2 linked regions of the Saccharomyces cerevisiae S288C genome follow. The gene in region 1 interacts genetically with each later gene. Each region holds a gene or a part of one and is shown in the gene's direction. Other genes may lie near its edges. The genes, in order: CEP3 and MIF2.

Region 1 (4,351 bases):
CCACGCCCTTTAGTGCATTTAGGGATTTTCATTACTGCTAATCCAAGACTTGAACCGGATTGTTGATCAGCCCCCTTCTTAAGCTGATTGCTAAACTCCCTAAGGGTTAAGGAATTAGTAAGTTTAGGGAGGAGACAGGGAGATTGTTCAAACGAATAGCGTAGATTTAACTGATCATACCTCAGAAACTAATTGTATAAAATGGCAAATCTGGATGGGAATAAATTTGACTCATGCCAGGTAATTATACCTTGGACTTGTATCATAGAGATATAGATTATACACATTTAGAAAATTAGCCAAAAGAAAAATGCCTACCTTGTATACTGATATCGAAATCCCACAATTGAAAATCTCTTTAAAGCAACCGCTAGGGTTGTTTATCAACAATGAGTTTTGTCCATCATCAGATGGAAAGACCATCGAAACTGTGAACCCAGCTACTGGCGAACCGATAACATCCTTCCAAGCAGCTAACGAAAAGGATGTAGACAAAGCTGTGAAAGCTGCCAGGGCTGCTTTTGATAACGTTTGGTCGAAGACATCTTCTGAGCAACGTGGTATTTATCTTTCAAACTTATTAAAACTTATTGAGGAGGAGCAAGACACACTTGCCGCATTAGAGACTTTAGACGCTGGTAAGCCTTTCCATTCCAATGCTAAACAAGACTTAGCCCAGATTATAGAACTTACAAGATACTATGCGGGGGCGGTCGACAAGTTCAATATGGGTGAAACCATTCCATTGACTTTTAACAAGTTTGCATATACTCTAAAAGTTCCTTTTGGCGTTGTTGCTCAAATCGTTCCATGGAATTATCCTCTAGCTATGGCTTGTAGAAAAATGCAAGGTGCCTTAGCGGCCGGTAACACGGTTATCATCAAACCTGCTGAAAATACCTCTCTATCTCTACTTTATTTTGCTACTTTAATTAAAAAAGCAGGTTTTCCACCTGGTGTTGTCAATGTCATTCCTGGTTATGGTTCCGTTGTGGGGAAAGCTTTAGGAACCCACATGGATATCGACAAAATATCTTTTACGGGAAGTACTAAGGTTGGCGGCTCAGTATTGGAAGCTTCCGGCCAATCGAACCTTAAGGATATCACACTAGAATGCGGTGGTAAGTCTCCTGCTCTTGTATTTGAAGATGCAGACCTTGATAAGGCTATAGAATGGGTAGCAAATGGTATTTTTTTTAATTCGGGACAGATCTGCACTGCAAACTCAAGAGTTTATGTTCAAAGTTCGATCTACGACAAGTTTGTTGAAAAGTTTAAAGAAACTGCAAAGAAGGAGTGGGATGTTGCAGGAAAATTTGATCCGTTTGATGAGAAATGCATCGTTGGTCCAGTTATATCAAGTACACAGTATGACCGCATCAAAAGTTACATAGAACGTGGTAAAAAGGAGGAAAAGTTGGACATGTTCCAGACCTCTGAATTTCCTATTGGTGGAGCTAAAGGCTACTTCATTCCCCCAACCATCTTCACTGATGTACCAGAAACATCTAAGTTGCTGCGTGATGAAATATTTGGCCCGGTTGTGGTTGTTAGCAAGTTCACAAATTATGATGACGCTCTGAAGCTGGCTAATGATACTTGCTACGGGCTCGCCTCTGCGGTCTTCACCAAAGATGTCAAGAAAGCGCACATGTTTGCTCGCGATATTAAAGCAGGAACTGTTTGGATCAATCAAACCAATCAAGAAGAAGCTAAAGTTCCTTTTGGCGGATTTAAGATGAGTGGTATTGGTAGAGAATCAGGCGACACCGGCGTTGATAACTATTTACAAATAAAATCAGTCCATGTGGATCTTTCATTGGATAAATAATTCGTTACATAGTTATATAAATGTTTACATGAGATTCAAAGCTTCATATTCTATGAAATCTTTATTTTTTACGGCTTTAAATGAAGTGCGCGCAGCCATGTAAGCTAAGCGTAAGAGAATGAAATATTATAACCAACCTTCAGAGAGCAGGTGATGACAAAAGTTACGAACACGAGTTTGCATCCTAATAATAATGTTTAACCGTACCACTCAACTGAAATCCAAGCATCCCTGTTCCGTGTGTACGAGGCGAAAAGTCAAATGTGATCGTATGATACCGTGTGGAAACTGCAGGAAGAGAGGACAGGACTCCGAATGTATGAAATCAACAAAACTAATAACGGCTTCATCTTCCAAGGAATATCTCCCTGACCTATTGTTATTCTGGCAAAATTATGAATATTGGATAACGAATATTGGGCTGTACAAAACAAAACAAAGAGATCTTACTAGAACACCAGCTAATTTGGATACTGATACTGAAGAATGTATGTTTTGGATGAATTATCTTCAAAAAGACCAATCATTCCAATTGATGAACTTTGCTATGGAAAACTTAGGTGCTTTGTATTTTGGTTCCATTGGAGATATCAGTGAATTATATTTGAGGGTGGAACAGTACTGGGATAGAAGGGCAGACAAGAATCACAGTGTAGACGGCAAATACTGGGACGCACTAATATGGTCTGTCTTTACCATGTGCATTTATTATATGCCAGTCGAGAAGTTAGCAGAAATATTTTCAGTATATCCTCTCCATGAATATTTGGGTAGCAACAAAAGGCTCAATTGGGAAGATGGTATGCAATTAGTCATGTGCCAAAATTTTGCACGCTGCTCATTATTCCAATTGAAACAATGTGATTTCATGGCGCATCCCGATATAAGGCTCGTTCAAGCATATCTGATTTTAGCCACTACAACTTTCCCCTACGATGAACCGTTGTTGGCAAATTCGCTCCTAACACAGTGCATCCATACCTTTAAAAATTTTCATGTGGATGACTTTAGACCTTTACTTAATGATGACCCCGTTGAAAGCATCGCTAAAGTAACCTTGGGAAGAATATTCTATCGCCTGTGTGGATGCGATTATCTTCAATCGGGGCCACGCAAACCAATTGCACTTCATACAGAAGTATCCTCCCTATTACAACATGCAGCATATTTGCAGGATTTGCCTAACGTTGATGTTTACAGGGAAGAAAACAGCACAGAGGTCTTGTATTGGAAAATCATCTCATTAGACAGAGATTTAGATCAATACTTGAACAAGAGTTCTAAACCTCCCTTAAAAACATTGGATGCTATAAGGAGGGAGCTCGATATTTTTCAATACAAAGTAGATTCGTTGGAAGAAGATTTTAGATCAAATAACAGCAGATTTCAAAAATTTATTGCACTTTTTCAAATATCTACTGTTTCCTGGAAATTGTTTAAGATGTATCTCATTTATTATGATACCGCAGATTCACTACTAAAGGTTATACATTATTCTAAGGTAATCATTAGTCTTATTGTTAATAACTTCCATGCAAAAAGTGAGTTTTTCAACAGACATCCGATGGTGATGCAAACCATTACGCGCGTGGTCTCTTTCATCTCCTTTTACCAAATTTTTGTGGAATCGGCTGCTGTCAAACAACTTTTAGTAGATCTAACTGAACTTACTGCAAATCTGCCCACAATATTCGGTTCAAAACTAGATAAACTAGTTTACTTGACCGAAAGGCTCAGTAAATTAAAACTTTTATGGGACAAGGTACAGCTTCTAGATTCAGGTGATTCGTTTTACCATCCTGTTTTCAAAATACTACAAAATGATATTAAGATAATTGAGTTGAAAAATGATGAAATGTTTTCTCTCATAAAAGGACTCGGGTCTTTGGTACCGTTGAATAAGCTTAGACAAGAATCGTTGCTTGAGGAAGAGGACGAAAACAATACGGAACCAAGTGACTTCAGAACTATTGTAGAAGAGTTTCAATCCGAATATAACATTTCTGACATACTTTCCTAACTGCAACCATATTTCATATCCTTTGAAATCTCGCGGATGAATCGTTAAAGGAAAGGGCATACACTTTCAAATGAAACACAATCACACTCAGGAAATAAACAAAAAACTTTGGTATTACAGCCAAAACGTTTTAAAGTTAACACCTCTCAAAAACTTTGTATAGATCTGGAAGGTTGGCTATTTCCACGACATCCTTGAGAATGTGTCTAGGGGCCAGGAACCTTCGTTTGATACAAGGGAAGAGAACGTGTTCTAGTAATGAGGATATGTGTTCCTTTCTATTTATAAACTGGGCTTTTTCGTCTTCTGACAACGATGCATCAGATGTATCGACTTTCGGAACCATATCAGGTATATAGAGTAATGCAATCTCTCTTAAAATACCATCTAGACACTCTTGTTCATCCTCCCAATCAACTTCTTTACCCAGGCGATATATAAAAAATGGTAACTTGACCAGAGATGGAATGTAGCCTTTTAAAAGTAGTGGTAGAGATTTT
Region 2 (4,243 bases), on another chromosome or scaffold:
ACAAGCCTCAGGGGAGACGTTTGAAACCGTAGAGGAATACGTATGAAATATAAATCAACAAACATACGTACTGAATTATGTATCAGGATATATTGCTTTCACAGTTTGGAAATTGCCTCTATCACCAAGATATTCACTGTTAAAAAAAAAAATGCGAAAAAATTCAAATTTCAACAGCGATATTCGCCTTCAGTATATCAATATAAAGCAATTATGACACCTCATTTATCGTGCATATAAGATCATGCAATGAGTATGGATAACAATGATGACCATGAATCTAAATTGTCAATCTTGATGGACATGTTTCCAGCTATTTCCAAATCCAAATTACAAGTACATTTACTTGAAAACAATAATGATTTGGATTTAACGATAGGCTTGCTGTTAAAAGAAAACGACGATAAGTCTACAGTTGATAATGAATTACATCAACTGTACGACATGTTTCCTCAGCTTGATTGCAGCGTTATAAAAGATCAGTTTGTAATAAATGAGAAGTCCGTAGAATCGACTATTTCTGATCTTCTGAATTATGAAACCCTGCAAAAACTTAAAGACAATCAAGCAAATTCTCCTGATAGCGTAAAAAGGAACGAAAAGAAAAATAATTGGGAATCAACAAACGATCACATAGAGAGTATAATAAAGTTTACCGACGCTCCCAAAAATATTGCGCAGGAATACTTAGCCGAAAATGGTTTTGATACAGTAAAGGCGATCATCAAAATCATTTTGGATTATTACGACAAAAGGGATTTTAAAAAAGATGTGGATACTTTCAAAGTAAAACGGAGTCCTAATACGACTGTGAGAGGTGGTCGAGTTCAATCATCGACGGGGCTTGCCCACGTTTTGAAAAAGGGTAAAGAATCCGCAAATGTTGCTCAAGAGAGTCTCAAAAGGCCAAGGAGTTATAAGCACTCCTTGGATAGTCCGCAGATGGTTGAGTTAAATGAATTAGTTGCAGATAATCGCGATCTCAAAGCCATAAACCATGAATTTTTGCAAAAATGCCTGCAATTTTATGATGGAGATGTTGTAAAGGTGTTGAACATATCGTCCTTATTGATCGAAGATGACAAGAATATTACGAAAACTTGGAACTTTGACGAAGGTTTTACCTTGACATCCAGAGATAATTGTAAGCAACATTTACCCAAATTTTCAACACCGCAGATTTCCCGCAGAAATGAGGTAGGAAATACTTATAAATTGCCCCTTCATGACAAAGAAACCCCCGAGGGAGCTGTGCCGGTTATAAATAACCTGTTTCAAACATACAGATTGGATTTCCATGGTTTTCTTCCCAGTGAAGCGGTTTCAACACTGAAACTTGCATTAAATAAGTGGTGGTCCAAAGAGGTAGCAGAACGAGAGTTGAACTCCCACAACATAAACTCATATGGCTCAAAAGTACAGTTTGTAAGCCCGTTAATCGTGGTAACTGGTAGAGGTATCCACAGCATCGGCGGGATCTCAAAGGTTCGACTGCAGGTTAAAAGTTTTCTTGAAAAAAATCACTACATATTTTGGGAAGAATCTTCCTACTTCAGAATTGAGGGTAAGAAGAAGAAATAAAACCTATCTGATTTTTCTATAAAGGTTATAAACGCTAGGCTTCTTTAAACTGCATTGGGTTTTTTCTCAATTTCGAGAAAAATAATATAACGCGTTAGAAATGGTGATGTAAATAAATGAATGTTAGAAAAATACATACGTTAAACAAATAAGTTAGACATTAGCACAGGACAGCACTTCACTCATGGATTATATGAAATTGGGGCTTAAGTCCCGTAAAACTGGTATTGATGTTAAGCAAGATATACCCAAAGATGAATACAGCATGGAAAATATTGATGATTTTTTCAAAGATGATGAAACTAGTCTTATCAGTATGAGAAGGAAAAGCAGAAGAAAATCATCGCTTTTCTTACCATCAACGTTAAATGGCGATACTAAGAACGTATTACCGCCATTTCTACAGTCATATAAATCTCAAGATGATGAAGTTGTCCAAAGCCCATCTGGGAAAGGCGATGGATCAAGACGATCATCTTTGTTAAGCCATCAATCAAACTTCCTGAGTCCAGCCAATGATTTCGAGCCTATTGAGGAAGAACCAGAACAAGAAGAAAATGATATCAGAGGCAATGATTTTGCCACACCAATCACACAGAAATTGAGTAAACCTACATATAAAAGAAAGTACTCCACTCGGTATAGCCTTGACACTTCAGAAAGCCCTTCTGTAAGGTTGACACCTGATAGAATCACTAATAAGAATGTTTATTCAGATGTACCTGATTTGGTTGCTGATGAGGATGACGATGATAGAGTAAACACTTCTTTAAACACATCTGATAACGCATTATTAGAAGACGAATTAGAAGATGACGGGTTTATACCTGAAAGTGAAGAGGACGGTGATTACATTGAAAGTGACTCATCTTTGGATTCAGGCTCGGATTCAGCCAGTGATTCAGATGGAGATAACACCTATCAAGAAGTAGAAGAGGAGGCTGAGGTGAACACAAATGACAATGAAGATGATTATATAAGACGACAAGCGAGTGATGTGGTTCGTACAGATTCAATAATTGATAGAAACGGGCTTCGGAAATCTACAAGAGTCAAGGTGGCGCCTTTGCAGTATTGGAGGAACGAAAAAATAGTATATAAGAGGAAGTCCAATAAACCCGTTCTTGACATAGACAAAATTGTCACATATGATGAATCTGAAGACGAAGAGGAGATATTGGCAGCACAAAGAAGGAAGAAACAAAAAAAAAAACCTACACCAACCAGACCTTACAACTACGTACCTACGGGGAGACCAAGAGGAAGGCCAAAGAAGGATCCAAATGCAAAGGAAAATTTGATTCCAGAAGATCCCAACGAGGATATTATAGAAAGGATAGAATCTGGAGGCATAGAAAATGGCGAGTGGCTGAAACATGGAATACTGGAAGCTAATGTGAAAATTAGCGACACTAAGGAGGAAACTAAGGATGAAATTATTGCATTCGCGCCCAATTTGTCGCAAACTGAACAAGTAAAAGACACGAAGGACGAGAATTTTGCCCTTGAGATAATGTTCGATAAGCATAAAGAATATTTTGCTAGCGGCATATTAAAACTACCAGCTATTTCTGGACAAAAGAAATTAAGCAACTCATTTAGGACATATATTACGTTCCACGTGATACAGGGAATAGTCGAAGTAACTGTATGTAAGAACAAGTTCTTGAGCGTTAAAGGTTCCACTTTCCAAATACCGGCATTCAACGAGTACGCGATTGCCAATAGAGGGAATGATGAAGCCAAAATGTTCTTCGTTCAAGTGACCGTTTCAGAAGACGCTAACGATGACAACGACAAAGAATTAGACAGTACGTTTGACACTTTTGGGTAATTATGATGTGAATATTCTCATTATGCATGCTATGTACTGAAGAAATATAACTAGGTCCATACGCTTATACTGTTAAACATGTGAACTTTTCTGTAAGAAAATGAATCACGTAAAATTTCGCACCGAACTTTCGTAGATGAGAGAACAAAAAGCAGAAAAAGAGAAAGAACAGTAAAGTAACACTTAGTTAGCATATTTAAATAAAAGTCTAAAGGACCAGCAAAGAGTTATTAGGTGTGATGACGGATGAAAAAGTGAACTCAGATCAGAATATGAACGGTAAGCAGGGAGTTAACTTAATTTCATCCTTGCCTACAACACAAGTGCCGGTTTCAATTTTGACCAACAAGGAGAGAAGAAAAAGTATTCACGATGAATCAAATTTCGAAAGATCTGATAGTCATGAAGATCAATCAAAATCCAACTCTAATAGGAGGAATATTTACAAAAACGATTATAGCACAAATTTGAGGGATTTCTCTTTTGCCAATCTGAAGCAAAATAGTGAAAGGAACAAAGATGGCCATGAAATACAGATCAACACCAGTATGCCAGCTAATACAAATGGCCAGCAAAAAAGGTTTTCACCTTCATTACCTTCTGCTGTTTCATTTACGGTGCCCGAGGTGGAAAGGTTGCCGTATCATAGATATTCGATATCCAATAAACCTGGAAAGCAGCAGCAGCAGCAGGAACAACTGCAGCAAAATCAACAACAAGAAGAGCAGCAAAAGGCACAACTGCAGGAGCAAAATCAACGAGCAAAACAGCAAGAAGAGGTGAAGCAAATTCAGGAGCAAGTGCAAAAAAAGCAAACTGAAAGACAGC

Evidence for each region.
Region 2: of CEP3 (region 1) and MIF2, changing one enhances a phenotype caused by changing the other (phenotypic enhancement), as found in Saccharomyces cerevisiae (2 studies listed by BioGRID, with this or other methods).

The regions. Positions count from the first base shown.
Region 1 is NC_001145.3:596,832-601,182, reverse strand, and holds CEP3 (Cep3p), read left to right. Parts: upstream 1-2,024; coding exon 2,025-3,851; downstream 3,852-4,351. Other genes in the region: aldehyde dehydrogenase (NAD(+)) ALD3, read left to right, coding at 311-1,831; mismatch repair ATPase MLH1, read right to left, coding at 3,988-4,351. UniProt on the Saccharomyces cerevisiae protein: Acts as a component of the centromere DNA-binding protein complex CBF3, which is essential for chromosome segregation and movement of centromeres along microtubules. CBF3 is required for the recruitment of other kinetochore complexes to CEN DNA.
Region 2 is NC_001143.9:271,629-275,871, forward strand, and holds MIF2 (Mif2p), read left to right. Parts: upstream 1-1,765; coding exon 1,766-3,415; downstream 3,416-4,243. Other genes in the region: CUE2 (Cue2p), read left to right, coding at 250-1,581; phosphopantothenoylcysteine decarboxylase complex subunit CAB3, read left to right, coding at 3,655-4,243. UniProt on the Saccharomyces cerevisiae protein: Component of the kinetochore, a multiprotein complex that assembles on centromeric DNA and attaches chromosomes to spindle microtubules, mediating chromosome segregation and sister chromatid segregation during meiosis and mitosis.